Oryzias latipes: one gene and its partners. The protein of the gene in region 1 binds, or shares a complex with, the protein of each later gene. Links are inferred from orthologs where the notes say so. Each region holds a gene or a part of one and is shown in the gene's direction. Other genes may lie near its edges.

Evidence for each region. Proteins that work in one complex are often made in the same cells at the same time.
Region 2: smc2 (region 1) and ncaph share a complex: the UniProt entries of both Homo sapiens proteins name them as parts of the condensin complex. The link is inferred for Oryzias latipes from reciprocal best matches to the Homo sapiens genes SMC2 and NCAPH.
Region 3: the proteins of smc2 (region 1) and ncaph2 are in contact, whole or in part, in a cryo-EM structure (PDB 9F5W), measured with the Homo sapiens proteins. The link is inferred for Oryzias latipes from reciprocal best matches to the Homo sapiens genes SMC2 and NCAPH2. Residues at the interface, in NP_001036015.1 of Homo sapiens: Leu93, Thr125, Gln128, Asp129, Cys132, Gly135, Leu136, Asn137, Met173, Tyr174, Lys177, Lys178; in NP_689512.2 of Homo sapiens: Glu46, Phe53, Ile54, Glu55, Leu58, Leu59, Gly62, Ser63, Ala64, Cys65, Val66, Lys69, Tyr73.

The regions. Positions count from the first base shown.
Region 1 is NC_019859.2:11,208,555-11,213,565, forward strand, and holds part of smc2 (structural maintenance of chromosomes protein 2), read left to right. Parts: coding exon 1-44; intron 45-130; coding exon 131-248; intron 249-825; coding exon 826-964; intron 965-1,055; coding exon 1,056-1,175; intron 1,176-1,294; coding exon 1,295-1,499; intron 1,500-1,578; coding exon 1,579-1,714; intron 1,715-2,587; coding exon 2,588-2,712; intron 2,713-2,806; coding exon 2,807-3,000; intron 3,001-3,128; coding exon 3,129-3,272; intron 3,273-4,087; coding exon 4,088-4,162; intron 4,163-4,298; coding exon 4,299-4,418; intron 4,419-4,520; coding exon 4,521-4,721; intron 4,722-4,814; coding exon 4,815-4,931; intron 4,932-5,011. UniProt on the Homo sapiens protein: Central component of the condensin complex, a complex required for conversion of interphase chromatin into mitotic-like condense chromosomes.
Region 2 is NC_019867.2:25,809,934-25,815,284, reverse strand, and holds the end of ncaph (condensin complex subunit 2), read left to right. Parts: intron 1-904; coding exon 905-1,051; intron 1,052-1,752; coding exon 1,753-1,857; intron 1,858-1,995; coding exon 1,996-2,072; intron 2,073-2,324; coding exon 2,325-2,400; intron 2,401-3,461; coding exon 3,462-3,521; 3' UTR 3,522-3,781; downstream 3,782-5,351. Other genes in the region: vesicle-associated membrane protein 8-like, read left to right, coding at 5,138-5,152. UniProt on the Homo sapiens protein: Regulatory subunit of the condensin complex, a complex required for conversion of interphase chromatin into mitotic-like condense chromosomes.
Region 3 is NC_019881.2:24,032,437-24,036,814, reverse strand, and holds part of ncaph2 (condensin-2 complex subunit H2), read left to right. Parts: intron 1-1,963; coding exon 1,964-2,043; intron 2,044-2,113; coding exon 2,114-2,363; intron 2,364-2,434; coding exon 2,435-2,506; intron 2,507-2,743; coding exon 2,744-2,807; intron 2,808-2,881; coding exon 2,882-2,983; intron 2,984-3,082; coding exon 3,083-3,127; intron 3,128-3,196; coding exon 3,197-3,267; intron 3,268-3,340; coding exon 3,341-3,455; intron 3,456-3,526; coding exon 3,527-3,601; intron 3,602-3,829; coding exon 3,830-3,876; intron 3,877-4,378. UniProt on the Homo sapiens protein: Regulatory subunit of the condensin-2 complex, a complex that seems to provide chromosomes with an additional level of organization and rigidity and in establishing mitotic chromosome architecture.

The DNA.
Region 1 (5,011 bases):
CCGAGAGAAACTGGAGGCGGAGCTGGCCAAACTCAACTATGAAGGTGCAGCATTCTCCTGAAAATAAAAGACGAATGTTGTAAAAGCTTTTGCCTGTTTAGTGACTCAACTTGTGTTTGTGCTGCTGCAGATGGAAAAGAAGAAAGCCTGATGGAAAAACGAAGACAGCTTTCCAGAGAAGTCGCTCAACTTAAGGAGACCTTTGACCGACTCATGTCTCGTTTTCCCAGCCTGCGCTTTGAATACAAGTAAACGCTTCTATCTGTTTGAGTATCATGCCTTTAAATGTACATTTTAATTTACATAACAGCGTATAAGCCCAGACACGTAAGATTTCGTTTAACATTCTTATTCAAAATCTATAAATAAACCAGGTGGCAGATGTGTTTAGTTTATTGACTGGAAAAGTAAAATGCCTGCAGTTAGTGAATTATTTCATATGTAGTGATTTTAATTTTGTTCATATTTTCATTTGCAGCAACATAATGGTTTTTGGAGTGGGGCAAAATTGATCCATAAATTCATTAACAGCTAATTCCAAATAGTTTAACAGTTTACAAGATTTTACAGCTTAAACATAAACAGGAACTATTTTGATTTGAAGTTTTAAGTGTGGACAAATGATTGATTCTGCTGTTTCTTTCATCTCTATGAACTATCTAATCTAAAGATTTGATTAAGAAATAGAACTTTAATTTCTTATCTTGTCCACCATGAATTGAGTTTTTTTTCTTCCTCTTGACGATGTTTTATTTGAGTCATTTTTCTTTTCTTCAGTTTGCATTTTTCTTCTTTTCTGTTGTAATAAATTCTGCTGTCTCCCAGAGATCCGGAGAGAGGCTGGGACCGAAGCAAAGTGAAGGGCCTTCTAGCTAATCTCATAAGTGTCAGTGATGTTTCCTATGCCACGGCACTGGAGGTAGTTGCAGGTGGACGGCTCTACAACATTGTTGTAGACACAGAGGTAGACCTTTTGAAAGTTTTTTTTTTAAATTTATTTCACAGGTGAATAAACAGAATCTTTGTGACTAAATGATTGAATCCTTCCTTCTTAGGTGACTGGTAAGAAGCTGCTGGAGAAAGGAGAGCTACAGCGCAGGTACACCATCATTCCTCTCAACAAGATATCTGCCAAAACTCTCAACGACAAAGTGATCCACACCGCGAAGCGCCTGGTGAGAAAACTCTGTGCTTTCATAGTCTCCGACTTTTTCTTGTGTATAAAAGGAATCACATCTCATTCATTAGGTTTTCTCGTAGGTAATTTTCCGTGATTTTGTCTTTGTTCTGTGAGGTCGGGGAGGACAACGTTCACACAGCTCTGTCCCTGGTGGGATACGAGTCTGACCTTCGTAAAGCCATGGAGTATGTGTTCGGCTCCACGCTGGTCTGTGACACTTTGGACAACGCAAAGAAAGTGGCGTTTGACAAACAGGTGATGACCAAGACTGTTACGCTTGGGGGAGACATCTTTGACCCGCAGGGAACTTTGAGTGGAGGTGAGATCAACGCTCGACTCCTGTTTCCTTGGAAAATCAAATCAGTTTCAATACTTGGCTCCTCTTTTTTTCTTTCCAGGCGCTCGCTCGCAGTCGGCATCGATTTTGTCGAGCCTGCAGGAAGTAAAAGATGTTCAGGACAGCCTGAGCGATAAGGAGGCCAAACTTCAGGATACTGAGCGACAGATGTCCAGTCTGAAGGGAACCGCTGAGAAGTATGCAAATGAAAAAGCAGAAAAGTTCCTCTACACATTAAAAAAACTCCTATATATTTACTAAAACTAGCGGTACTTTCTGTTGTGAAACCCCTTCTTTTAAGTGGGATGCAGTGATTCACTTTCCCCTCGATTCAGTTCAAACCTCAATTTTTGGGTCACGGTTCGAAATATGACTTTTGTACTACAAAGAGACAAACAACATTTTTGAAAAAATCATTTTAAATTTGCTAATAAGCAAAAAAAAAATATATATATATATATCAGTTGGCTAATACTAAGCCTGGAGTAATGTAATAAGACAATAAATAGTAAATCCTTCTTAAATTTAGCACAACTGTTTGACACTTTCAATGTAAACACGCAGTAGCGATGGAACAAATCCCCTTCCCCACAATGCGGTTTAAATGTGGAGCAAACAGTTTGGTTTGAAACCGAGAATGGTGGCATCCCTATTATGCACCATGGAAAATTAGATCCTCTTAATCAATAAAACATTCAATTCAGCTTGATTATATATTTTTTAATTCATTGTGTTTCTTTAAAACAAGCTACTGGTGACAAGTGTTAAAAAAAATCTATTAAGTCTATTTTACATTTCTTGTTTGGCCTGCAGTTAAAAATCAGAAGTTATAGAGATGTTTTGTTTGATCTTGTAGTGAAGGATATTTTTATGAGACAAAAGTCAAATCAAAGAAGATAACCGTGTTTTTTTAATTTATTTTTTAAGTTGTCTGAGGAAGCCTGCTTTTAAAAAACGTATAAGGCCCAGCTGTTTAGGGCCAGTTTACAACTCTGTCGTAGTTTAGAAAGGATTTCTTTGGTTAATTTATTCCAAATGACGTTTTTCATTTCACTTTTCCCTTTCTGCAGGTATCGGCAGCTGAAGCAGCAGCACGAGCTGAAGGTGGAGGAGGAGCAGATCCTGCAGACCAAGCTGCAGCAGAGCTCCTTCCATCAGCAGCAGGAGGAGCTGGAGAGGCTGCAGAAAGCCATCGGTCTGGACTTTAACTTCAGTTTAATAGAGGGAGGGAAAGCGGGAGGTTTCATCTGCAGTTATTTTAAGACCTTTTGTGACGTTTGCTTCCCCAGACGAGAGTGAGGCCACTTTGCGCCTCACCAAGGAGCTGCAGAAGCGAGCCGAGGAGAAGTACAAGGTGCTGGAAAACAAAATGAAGAATGCCGAGGCTGAGAGGGAGAAGGAGTTGAAGGCTGCCCAGGAGAAACTCAACAAAGCAAAAGCAAAAGCAGACGCCTTCAACAAGACTTTAAAGCAGAAGCAGCAGGTAAACTGTTTGTTTTAATGAAAATATGCAGAAATGAGTGGTTCCCAGAATTATTTTAAGATAGCTAAACCTTTGTAATATTTGATTTAATATTTCTAATCATTGGGTTTGTTTATTCTCGTCTCCAGGAGTCTGAAGCTGTGGCCTTGGAGCTGGAGGAGCTCCGGAGGGAGCAGGCCACCTACGAGCAGCAGATTCAGGCCGTCGACGAGGCCATGAAGGCCTTTCAGGAACAAATAGACAGCATGGCCTGCACCGTGACCCAGAACAAGGTAGGAGTGTCGGCTGGGAAGGCAACAGTCTCCTAAAAGCTTTCCCGGCAGAGATTTGCAATAGCAGCACTAAATCCTCATGATTTTTAAGAAAGGAGAGGATGTTTGTTGAGAAAGTCGAGCTAAACCAAATCAGCTTGAATAGATCCAGAAAGCGATGATTTCTGTGGAGATACAAAACATACCAAAAAAACTTTTACTTCAAAAAATTCAGTTCAAAGATTCAAAATCACAAATTCAAACCTTAGAAAATAATTATGCAACTTTAAAAATGGCCTTTTTCAGAGGAAAGAAAATAGAATCATCACATAAATTAGGAGGCATAAATAGTAAACAGACAAAACAGCAGTGTTCTACAGTCTTTCGGCATGTTTTAAAAGAGGTTTTGGAGCGGAGAGAAACCTTTCAGATGCTCTAAGACTTTGAATTTGAGCCAAAAACAAAAAATCGTCATCTACATAGATTGTTTGTTTGAGCCAATGACATTGTGATGATTTTGGTCATGTTTGCTACATGTAGAGTTACATTAATCTTTTCCATCTGTGAAGTCTGACGTTTTATCGATTTAGTTTTCAATCTGACTATGTTGTTAGAGGAAGCTTCAGCAGGATGGAAACACTGAATTTATTTTAACTTTCTTCGTTGGAGGCAAATAAAACAACCCTTCCTATTTACAAATGAAATGTTTTTTCCTCTCTTTTAGATAAAAAAAATAAAAATAAAGCTGCATTTTCTTTCAAGCCAGCTGAAAATATGAGTTTGTTTTCAGTTTAACTGTACGTGTGTGTGAGCCTAATATCATGAATGTGGCGCAGGAGGCAGTGCGGAAAGCCCAGGAGGAGCTGACCAAACTCAAAGAAGTGATCATGGCACAGGACAAGGAGATCAAGGTTGTGGAATTTTGACTGTTTCATTGAAAGCTTTCTTCTTTCTTTCGGCTTGTTCTCGGCTTTCAGCATAAATGTGTATTTAATTCTTCTCAGTAATGGCAGATCTTCCAGTTTTTAAAGATGCTTGTCCTCATAGGGAAAAAACTCGGAGGCCAATAAGATAAGAGAGCAGAACAATGAGGTTCAGCTGAAGATCAAGGAGCAGGAACACAACATTAGTAAACATCATAAAGACAGCCAGGACGCTGCTGACAAGGTACGCACTAACCTGCACCTGTCTCCTCACTTGAACGCAGAGATTCTATTGTTCTTTTAAAAGAAAAAGCTTAGATTTTTGAGATGTTCGTGTCACTTGCAGGTGGCTCGGATGCTGGAAGAACACGACTGGATCCAGTCGGAGCGCCATTTCTTCGGCCAGCCGAACTCCTCCTACGACTTTAAAGTCAACAACCCCCGTGAGGCGGGCCAGCGGCTGAAGAAGCTGGAAGAAACCACTTCCAAGCTGGAGAGGAACGTCAACAAGAGAGCCATGAACATGCTGAACGAGGCAGAGGAAAGGGTGAGGAGCTCCTGTCGGCGCCGTCTGAGTCGATCCAAATGTTTGACAACATTTTTGTGTTTGCTGAAAACTGTGTGTTTTTTGCTTTTGCAGTACAATGACCTGATGAAGAAAAAGAGAATTGTGGAGAATGACAAAGCAAAAATCTTGCAGACCATTGAGGAATTGGACCAGAAGAAGAACGAAGCTCTTAACTTGGCTTGGCAGAAGGTTTGCATCGATTTTAGCATGTCTGCATTCTTTTTTGATTTGTAATCATAACTATTTCATCTCTTGGTTTTGTGATCTTT
Region 2 (5,351 bases), on another chromosome or scaffold:
CTGGAACTAAATGCTGCAAATTTTTCTGTCAAAGTGCCTTTATAAACACTTTTTGATACAAATCTTTTGGTGGTTTTACTCAATTCTCTACATATTTCCAGTCAACCAAAGATCATAGATTATTTTTTATTATGTAACATGGTCCGGGTGAATAATGGATTCTGATTGGCTGCTGGGTGTGCATTAAAATGTGATAATCCACAGTGATAATGCACACCTAAAAAAACAAGAAGTTCTGGTGTCTCATAGATGAAATCCCTTTGTATCACTTTGTTGACTTTTTTAAAAATAAACTTTAGCTTCATTATCTGGACAAAAACGAGTGGTAAGAGGTGAACTTTCTCTCTGAACTGATGCTTTATTTAATCCATAGTGATGATCAGAATATATAGCACTTTCTTCTGCCACACCGCATAAAAAAAGCGATCTAAACCGAACAAATGAAAAGAAAAACATACTAAAAGCGGATTGAATATGACCATGGTTTATGCCATGCGTTAATTTCTGATAATGCTTACTTTGTCGGCCATGATCCTTTACTTATGTAACATAGGTCTATACAAAAGTCAAAGTTTGTTCGTTAATGTGTGTAAATGGGCAGTCCAGGCCATCAGCTTCATGACTGACATCAGCTAGCACTAATCTGCTGTGTCATGCTAAAACACCAACATGCTGCAGTTTAAAGCAACTTCATCACCTCAAACTGCTGGGGTTACGAAACTGCTGCCACATCACCAAGAGTGGGAGAGCTGACCAGACATGACTTTGTTCCGTTCAGTTACTGCGTGCCAACCTTACTCACTAAAGCCATTTATGGGGAACATTTTTGATAAAACAGTAAAGCAAACAAAGCTTTTATCTTTGCGTTTCCTTCTGTCATCTCCTGGTCTGTCCTCTGCTTCAGGGGGGTGACAGTGATGACGACGATGTTGAGGGGTTTACTGGTTCCGATGACATCCAGCCGTCAGGTGGTAGTGAAGCTCCACCCTCACAAGACCTGGAGGGTGTGTCCACCTACGGGGAGGATGAACTGGTACCTGAGCCTCACAGAGTGAGTCATGCAGGGTTTTTTTTTCTTTTTCAAGAACACATAATGGATTTAGTTTGTTTTGTTTGTTTGACACGTATTCATTTACCTGGCAGTAAACCTGAAGCCTGTGAATCTCGATCATGAAAGGGCCTGCATCATGTAAAATCAACCTTTTGAGCTTTTAAGTGTATTATCATGTTAATTCCTCACTATAAACAACCCCAAAGCGGTATTCGGATCCATTCACGCATTTCTGAGCACCAGCCCCTCCCAACCCGTGAAAATAAGCGGGTTCATTGTGGCGTAGATAAGTGAGGAACAGCCCCTTCCAGGAAAAGTCTACCCTGCCAGCGCCACCCCCAGGCTAACACGCACACCCACTTTCTCCACAAACCGAGCGGTGATCATCAAAAGCGCTTTCCTTTTATAAGCACATGTATCTTTGCAATAGTTCAAATGTTGTTTGTTTTTATTGGCGAGATGCAGCCGAGGCCGACTCTAGGTTGATGTCATGAAGTGAGCGGCACCCAAGCGAAAAAGAACTGATGAAAATAACAAATATTTAATACAAAATTTGTTCTGTAGTGTGCCAAAATGTAATTTATTATTACATATATGGATATAGTTCACTCAGAAATGCTTAAAAAGCATGATTGAGGCCTTTTCCAAAAAGGCTGAACTTTGTATGGAATTGATTTTTACTCTACTGCTTGTGTTTGCAGGTCAACAAAATTGAAATCAATTATGCCAAGACAGCAAAGAAAATGGATATGAAGAAGCTTAAGAACAGCATGTGGACTCTTTTAACAGATAGTCCAGAAGAAAAGGTACAGGTGCTTTTACTTTGTTTCTTTCTTTTTTGTCTGTATTGTATCATGTTGATGAATGTTTAGGTGTCTGGCGTTGGTGCTTGAGGACGGTCTAGAGAGGGCAGCTGTGTTCATCTGGTTTTTGTCTTTCTGCAGGTGAAGGAGACTGTTGAGACTCAGGATGTGTGTGGGGAGAAAGCCTTCAGTCAGACCACAAAGATGCTGCTTCAAAGGTACCAACACAACTCTGGCACTTATAGCAACAATCATCAAAAGCTTTAGAAAGCCTCACATTCTACTAACATTGCTGGTTTGGAATCCATGCGTGGGTTTTACCAAAAAGTTTTGGCTCCTCCAACACTTTTTTTTTTCGTATTCTTGTGAGACATTATCTTCCTTTATAGACTGATGCTGACAGAACCTTGAAGAGTTTGATTTGAAATGTGCTCCTCCTCCTTCTCCCCCCTCCTTCTTGTACCCCTTAGGTTGCCGAACGTTATGGCTCAGAACCTGTCGGTGCCGCTGGCCTTTGTGGCTCTGCTTCATCTGGCAAATGAAAAGGTGCAACTATTTATTAGAAAATAAAAGAAAACATTGCAACCCTCTTGGCATTACAATAACTCCTAATCATAAATAGACAAACTTGCATTTTTATGTACAGTACAATCAATTCAATATAATGATTGTCAGATAGAGTTTGATGAATAGCTTGAAATGAAGTGGGAAGAAGCAAATTTACATAATCCCACCAAAAATAAACAAATATTAAGCATATGATGGAGCTAAAAGAAGTGTTTCACACTTTTCTGTGTTGTTTTTTTACTTAAAAGGGGAACATAATTTCTAGTTGCTTAGCATGTGATCTAGTTTTTTCCGTCTTTTGACAGTGTGTGAAAGTTTGAAATGGCTAATTGACACGCACATCTGTAACGTATATCTATTACATATACTGATGTCATCATGTAATCAGTTCCTAGATTAATGGGAAAAAAAGTGTTTATCATTTACCAATGAACAGCAGGACTGACGACCCGACTCTATTTTTGGTTGTCAAAAAAACCAAAATAATATTGGTTCATGAGTTAATTCATTTAAAATCAAATGGAAGTAAATGAGTTGTACTGTATTTGAGGTTCTGAAAATATCTTATCAGTTTGGTTTCTTTTTATTTAACCTTTATTTTACCAGGAAGTCCCTTGAGATAAAACATTTTTAGAGAGAGACGTGACCCAGAGGCATTGATACACACACAAACATAAAACCATGAAAATAAAAGAACATTTGAAACAGCTCAAGATAAACATGTGCACTCTTCGGTCACTCACTCAGTGTTATCAGTTTGTGGGATCACTTTGCTTATAAAGATAGTGACAGACGTGTCATTACTCCTACTCGACTTTAAAATGTTTCAACTTAAGAGCCTTTTAAATGAATCCTGTTTGTCTTTAAAATGACTTTAATTTAACATTATATTTGACATTAATTTATTATCAAGAGCAACTTTCAGCTTTAGGAATTCTACTTTTATAAAAGGTTATAACAACATAACCCAAGTTATTTTCTGTAGACAAACGTCTGAAGCTTTAACACCTTTTAACAGTTTTGAATTGTCTGTTTTACAGAATTTGGAGCTGGTCAAAGTTGATGACATGTCAGACATTATCATCAGACAAGGCCGCTAAGGAGAAAACCAGGAGATTTTTTTAAATTCTGTCCTCTTCTTTCTTTGAATTTATGCTTTTTCTATTTAAAATGTCAGGTTTTATTCACTTTGTGCTTAAGTTTTAAATCTGCCCTTTTTTCCCTCATAATGACAAGACGACCTTTTTTTTAACTCTGTACTATTTCATGATTATCTGTTGTGTAGATAAAAGAACTTTTCAACCACTGCTCAAAAGATATATATTGTCAAAAGAAATAAAATGTTTTTTTTTCCCATAAATGTGGTTGAGTTTGTGACTTAAATTTGGGCAGAACGTGTGAAATCCTGGCACATTAAACCTGTTTATAGTGTGAGTTTGCAACTTTGCTGTCGCCTTCCCGTAGAGGTTAAGCCGGTTTGTCTGGGTCTGTGCTTCCATCTGGGTGAGACGACATGACGTCCTTTCATTAAGGAGATACAGAACAAGAAAGAGCAGAGGACTAATCACATTCCAGTCCTTGGCGTAGAAGTTTTTAATCTTGCACACAGGAACTTTGATATAAACAGTGTTTTTACTTTAGGTTTCCTAATTTAATCCTAATATAATGGTAGAAATGTGCTTTTGTCCGATTATCACTAAATTGTGTAATGTGTCTCAAAATGTTTATAGTAATGCAATTAATATATAACACATAAGTAATTAGTTTTGTTTGTTTTGTTAAATATACTGTTTAAAAGTGGTTTTCCCATCATACCTCTCTTCAGACTTTCTGTTTAAAAACACAAAAGATTACTTCAAAGGATTCAAGGAGTATTTATTGCCAGTGAGCAGGGCATTTTCACAGAATTGGAATTTGCTGCGGTGCTAATGTGCGACATAAAACACTTGAATAACAAAAATAAATACCAGAGCAAAAAAAAAAAAAAAGATCTGAAAGGGGTGAGTTAAGAGTTAACATTCATGACTCCTATCTCAGATCCAACATGTGATGGAAACACCCTCAGATGGGAATTGAGTAGGAAGGCTGGAGCCACACAAAACCCAACATTAAGGGAACAATAGAGTCATGCCTTCAAAATAAAAGCATGTCCTGTCTTTATAATGAAATATTATCAGAAGCTGAAAAGTCAAATGGCACAAGCCAGATACGATCTGCAGTAAATACTTAACACATGTGGATGTGTTTTTATTATTATTATTGCTATTGGTCTTGATATTTTAATAATTATTGAAATGAGGTGGAGGGGAAATAGTGAGATACCTCTATTTTTTGATTTTTATCAGATTTTTATCGGTCCTTTTTTTACTCTAATAAACTAGCAAAATATTTGGAATCGTCATTCTAAAAAAAATAGCAATAGAAATGTCACTGTTGCACTTTTTCTTTCTTAATTGTAGGTTCTACGTCGCAAATTCAAAGTCGCAGAGCGGAAGCAGCGGTTGTGTTGCGGCGCACCGACGTCTTGAAGCGGAGGAATTCTATGACCGGAACAAAAAATAGGACCAGGAAGTTGAAGTGTCGAGCGCGTCCCCGTCACGATAGAGCAACAAACTAAAGTTTTAACAAAGTATTTTTAAAAGGTTTTAGCTTATAGGTCCGCTTCGGGAAACGTGTTTTCATTGATTATCGATCAGGGGACATCATTTCCAGCGACATGGACCATGATCCGGTAGGTACTGAGAGACCTGTTTTGAGACCCAAGTAAGAAAGTAAGTTGTTGTTTGGAGTCATGCAACAACAGGTGAAGCTAGCTTCAAAAAATGGATTATTTAACCTGGGTTGATAACAATAAACTCTTACTTTTGGTTTTGTATTTATTTTTGATAACGTTTTTTTTTTGTTGCCCGGAAAAAGCTATTACCTTTTAC
Region 3 (4,378 bases), on another chromosome or scaffold:
ATGTTCATAGAATCATTTATAGTTTCACGGGGTTTGTTCTAAAATGAGTCAAATCTTTCCAAAATGTTGGAGTGAAAGAGCAAAACTGATGAGGCACAGTTTCTGGTGAGGAACGATAACATGAGCAGTTTATGTCCAGTTCTTTTTTAAATTCCAGGAAGAATATTCCAGATAGCATGATTAAACTTCCCTGACTTTAAGCCTGAACTCTGGCTGAAATCCACCCGAACTTGCTTACTCTGGGTATGTCGGTTCCAAAAGACCGGATATGAGTTAACGTAATCACGCTCCACTTGGTAACCCTGGGTTAATGCACGTGCACAGCAGGTACATAAAGACATTCTCAATGGATCGCCGCTTTCTGGAGTCACCATGGAAACACGTGGAAAAAAAGAAAGCGCTATACTTCAGTGAGACGGAGTCTGAGATTTTAATGACGCCGTATGAAGATTATACGTCCATCAAAAAAGTAACACGGCTGCATCATCAGCAAAAGAGAGTTTCTGCTTGGAGACAAAGAACAAAGTAAACGCACGAGTTTCTGATCTTATTTCCATTTTCTTTGTGACGCAGAAATATATATATATATATAACTTATCCAATTTTGCCAACTTAAATGAATTACTTCTATTGGTAACAAATAATTGAGTTAAAATTATTCAACGTAATTTCTTACGTCTATAAAACTCAATAATTGTTTATGCAACTCAAATTTACGTATTTATCTAACTAAATGTCATATTACTCCAATTCAATTAATATTTTTTCCATCTTAATTATATTTCTTGAACTCTCAAATGTCTAAGTTTGAGCCGGCAGATATTCTCATTTGTATAACAATAAAAAGGACGAAACAAAATGCACAAAGTGTATAAATTGATTAAATAATCAATAATCCTCTCCCTCCCTCTCACTCATGGTGCAGAGACGTAAGCAAAGTAGGACAAAATAACTCGACAAAACACAGTAAAACAGCTAAACAACTAAACACATTTGGTCACAAAGCCACACTTAAATCCAAATCCGTCCAGACAGGCAAAGGGAATGGTATCCCACAATCCTTTGCGGTGCCGATCTAACAGCACCTACTTAATTGAATTAATTTGAATGAAAGTAAAACAACTGTCTGAAAACTACGTTTTATTTTTAATCTAACTTAACAAAAAAAATGATTTATCTTAACTGAAGCAAATAATGAAGTTAGATCAAAGTATAAAGTTTCTCTTTCCAACATCCATATGTGGTCTTATCACTCTCTCATGGTGGAAAAAGTATTATCTGAGCTTCTTCATCCACTAAATCATCTTCAAATGGACACGCCATGCTGCTTCACCTCTCTGAAAACAAACTAACCTTCAACTAAACCTGCTCCAGACCAGGTTATGTTCAGAGCATGAGTTGCTATGGCAACTTGACCTACCCTGAAACATACCTCCATTTCTGGAACCGAAAGCTGAGGTTATCAACTTCCTTAGCCTCAAACTTACCGTGGGAGCTAGCAGAACCTGCTTCCTGGAATACCCCCCCCGGTGTCTTCAGAAAAGAGGCCGCGGCGTTACCTGTTAGGAGGTACACAGGTGTTACCTGTTAGGAGGTACACAGGTGTTACCTGTTAGGAGGTACACAGGTGTTACCTGTTGCGAGGTACACAGGTGTTACCTGTTGCGAGGTACACAGGTGTTACCTGTTGCGAGGTACACAGGTGTTGCCTGTTGGGAGGTACACAGGTGTTGCCTGTTGGGAGGTACACAGGTGTTGCCTGTTGGGAGGTACACAGGTGTTGCCTGTTGGGAGGTACACAGGTGTTGCCTGTTGGGAGGTACACAGGTGTTGCCTGTTGGGAGGTACACAGGTGTTGCCTGTTGGGAGGTACACAGGTGTTGCCTGTTGGGAGGTACACAGGTGTTGCCTGTTGGGAGGTACACAGGCCGTAAGCGTGTGATTGCTGTCATGTGACCCTCAGACCGTGGTCGTCACTCCTCTTCCTCCCGAGTCTCTGATTCCTCCAGAAAGCCAGGAGAAGCAGAAGCTGCCCCTCATCAGGTGGGTGGAGCGGCAGGGTCTGACCCGCCGGGCCGTGCGCTCTGCTCACAGCCGTCTCTTCGTGTGTCAGTGTGAAGGGGGAGGTGCTGTGCAGCCAGAGGGACTTTCGGATTAACCTGTTCTTCCCGGGGGAGGGGGGCGTGGTCTTACTGAGGCTGCGCTCTGCGCTGGAGCTGGACCTGCATCCCGCCAACTTCTTGCATCAGGATTCCTCTGTTGATGCCTCCATGGGTGCAGACGTGCCCCCTGAGGCAGGAGAAGACTGCCGTCCAGAAGACAGAAGTGACCAGGACCCAGAGCAGCATGTGGACCGGCACCAGGTCTCATCAGAACAGCACAGGTGCTCCACCTGGACGGTCCAGAACCTGAACTTGTTGTGGCTGTGTTGCAGGCTGGGAGCGGCGTCCGAGAGAAACGGCAGATCTTTGCTGAGGAAAGACCCCAGCAGGATGCCCCGCCTCCAGTAGGTCACCTGATTCCACAGACCACTTGTCTGTTCTTCATCCTGCAGATGTGCAGTCCCATCTCCTCTGCCTCGTTTCTGTCAGCCTTCAGGTGAAGGTGTCAGGTGCAGACCGGGCTGTAAGCCGGTCCTCCCGTTTTAGTCAGAGGCGTTTGTAGGACGTCTTTCTTCGTTCTCAGGACTTTCTGAAACGCTTCTCCACAAGTAAACGTCTACCTGAAGGTCTCTCTGTTCCAGGTGAACGTCTGGACGCTCCACGACCCCTACGCTGTCCTCGCCCACGACAAGCCCTTCAGGATGGGTCAGTCAAGGCCGTTCCTCAGCTGGGTGTCACTACACAAAGTTGTGTCCACTCACAGTTGTGTGTCTCCTTAGGGAGGTGCTACAGGGTTCCACACGGTCTGGATGAAGGAGGAAAGAGGAAGAGGAGGTGCCCTTGTCCTCTGCAGGACTTCAGGAGCTGGTTCAGAGGAACCTGTGAGAACTACTGCTCACACTGATGTTTCATGAAAGCCACATCATCATCCTCATGTGTGTGTGTGTGTGTGTGTGCGCGCGGGTGCTCGTGTGCTACAGCTGGTCCTATGGAGAACAAGCTAAAAGGTGGACCCACCTTCACAGGTACACAGCACATCAGGACTCTGGCAAACTGAGAGGCGGGTCTTTTCCTGACTCCACTTCCTGTTTCAGACCTGAACTACATCTACCTGAAGTCACTGAAGGACAAGATCCGGACCAGGAGGAGGCTCAATCGCAGAGTGGTGAGACCTGCCGCACTTTACAAGCCTTCAGTCTGGACCTGAACATGATGATGATTAGGATGACGTCCACCAGGGTCTGGTGATGTCAGAGGATGAGCTGAGGAGAACCTTGCTGCAGCCACAGGAGGTGGGGCTGCAGCAGGAGGGGGATGAGCCTGCAGACGCCTTCAGGGACGCTGACATGTTTGGTAAAAAAGGTTTTGCATCTTTGTGAGACGCCAACGCTTGCAGTACCACGTCTGACCAGCAGTGTGTGCAGGAGAGCACGACCTCTCAGAGGAAGAGTCTCCTGAAGATCCTGCAGACTTTGCTGGAGGAGCTCAGCACATTGCAGGTAAAGTTGACCCGGTTTCAGGTGTCTGATGGTCCCGCCGTCCGGTTTTGACCGGACTGGTGAGGATTTGGGTTGGTAGAAAAACCTGAGGCACGGAGGGGTTGGGTAAATCTAGTTTTCAGGTTGAAATTTTGCATCAGAAGAAAACGGGGCGGGGCTAAGTCTGTCTCACCCCTGTATGTGTGCACGTGTGTGTGTGCACGTCTCAGCCTCTCCTTCTGTCTGCAGATCAGGCGGATGAGCTGTCCTACGAAGACCTGGTGAAGCTGCAGGTGGTGAGTCGGCTGCCGTTGACCGTTTTTATTGTCTGGGTCGGCCCGAGGGTCAAATGAATCTCTGGTGGATTAAACGTCAGATGAATGAAGGGCGTTGGCCATTTCATGGCTCCGCCCACCTCCACATTTAAAATGTGCAATTTGGTGGGGCCACGGTGTCTAATAATAATAAATAATTTATTTATCAATAATTCTTCTCTGCATTTGACCCATCCCCTGGGGGAGCTGTGAGCTGCAGCTCGGGAGGCAGTAGCATTAAGTTTTGCCCCACTGAGTGATGTTAATTGTAATGGTAATTGCCCCCAGTACCATTGTTGATTCCCCGCTGGGAGTCGAACCTTGGGTTCCTGCGTGGCAGCCTTCCACCTTACCAACCGAGCTACCCAGCCACTAGAAGAAACCGGTTCAACCCATCACTGATTGGTAATCACTACCTGCATCACCTATGAGGAAGCTGCTGCTCCATCAGTCCAACAGTCAAATTCTGGACCGGTTCTGATCC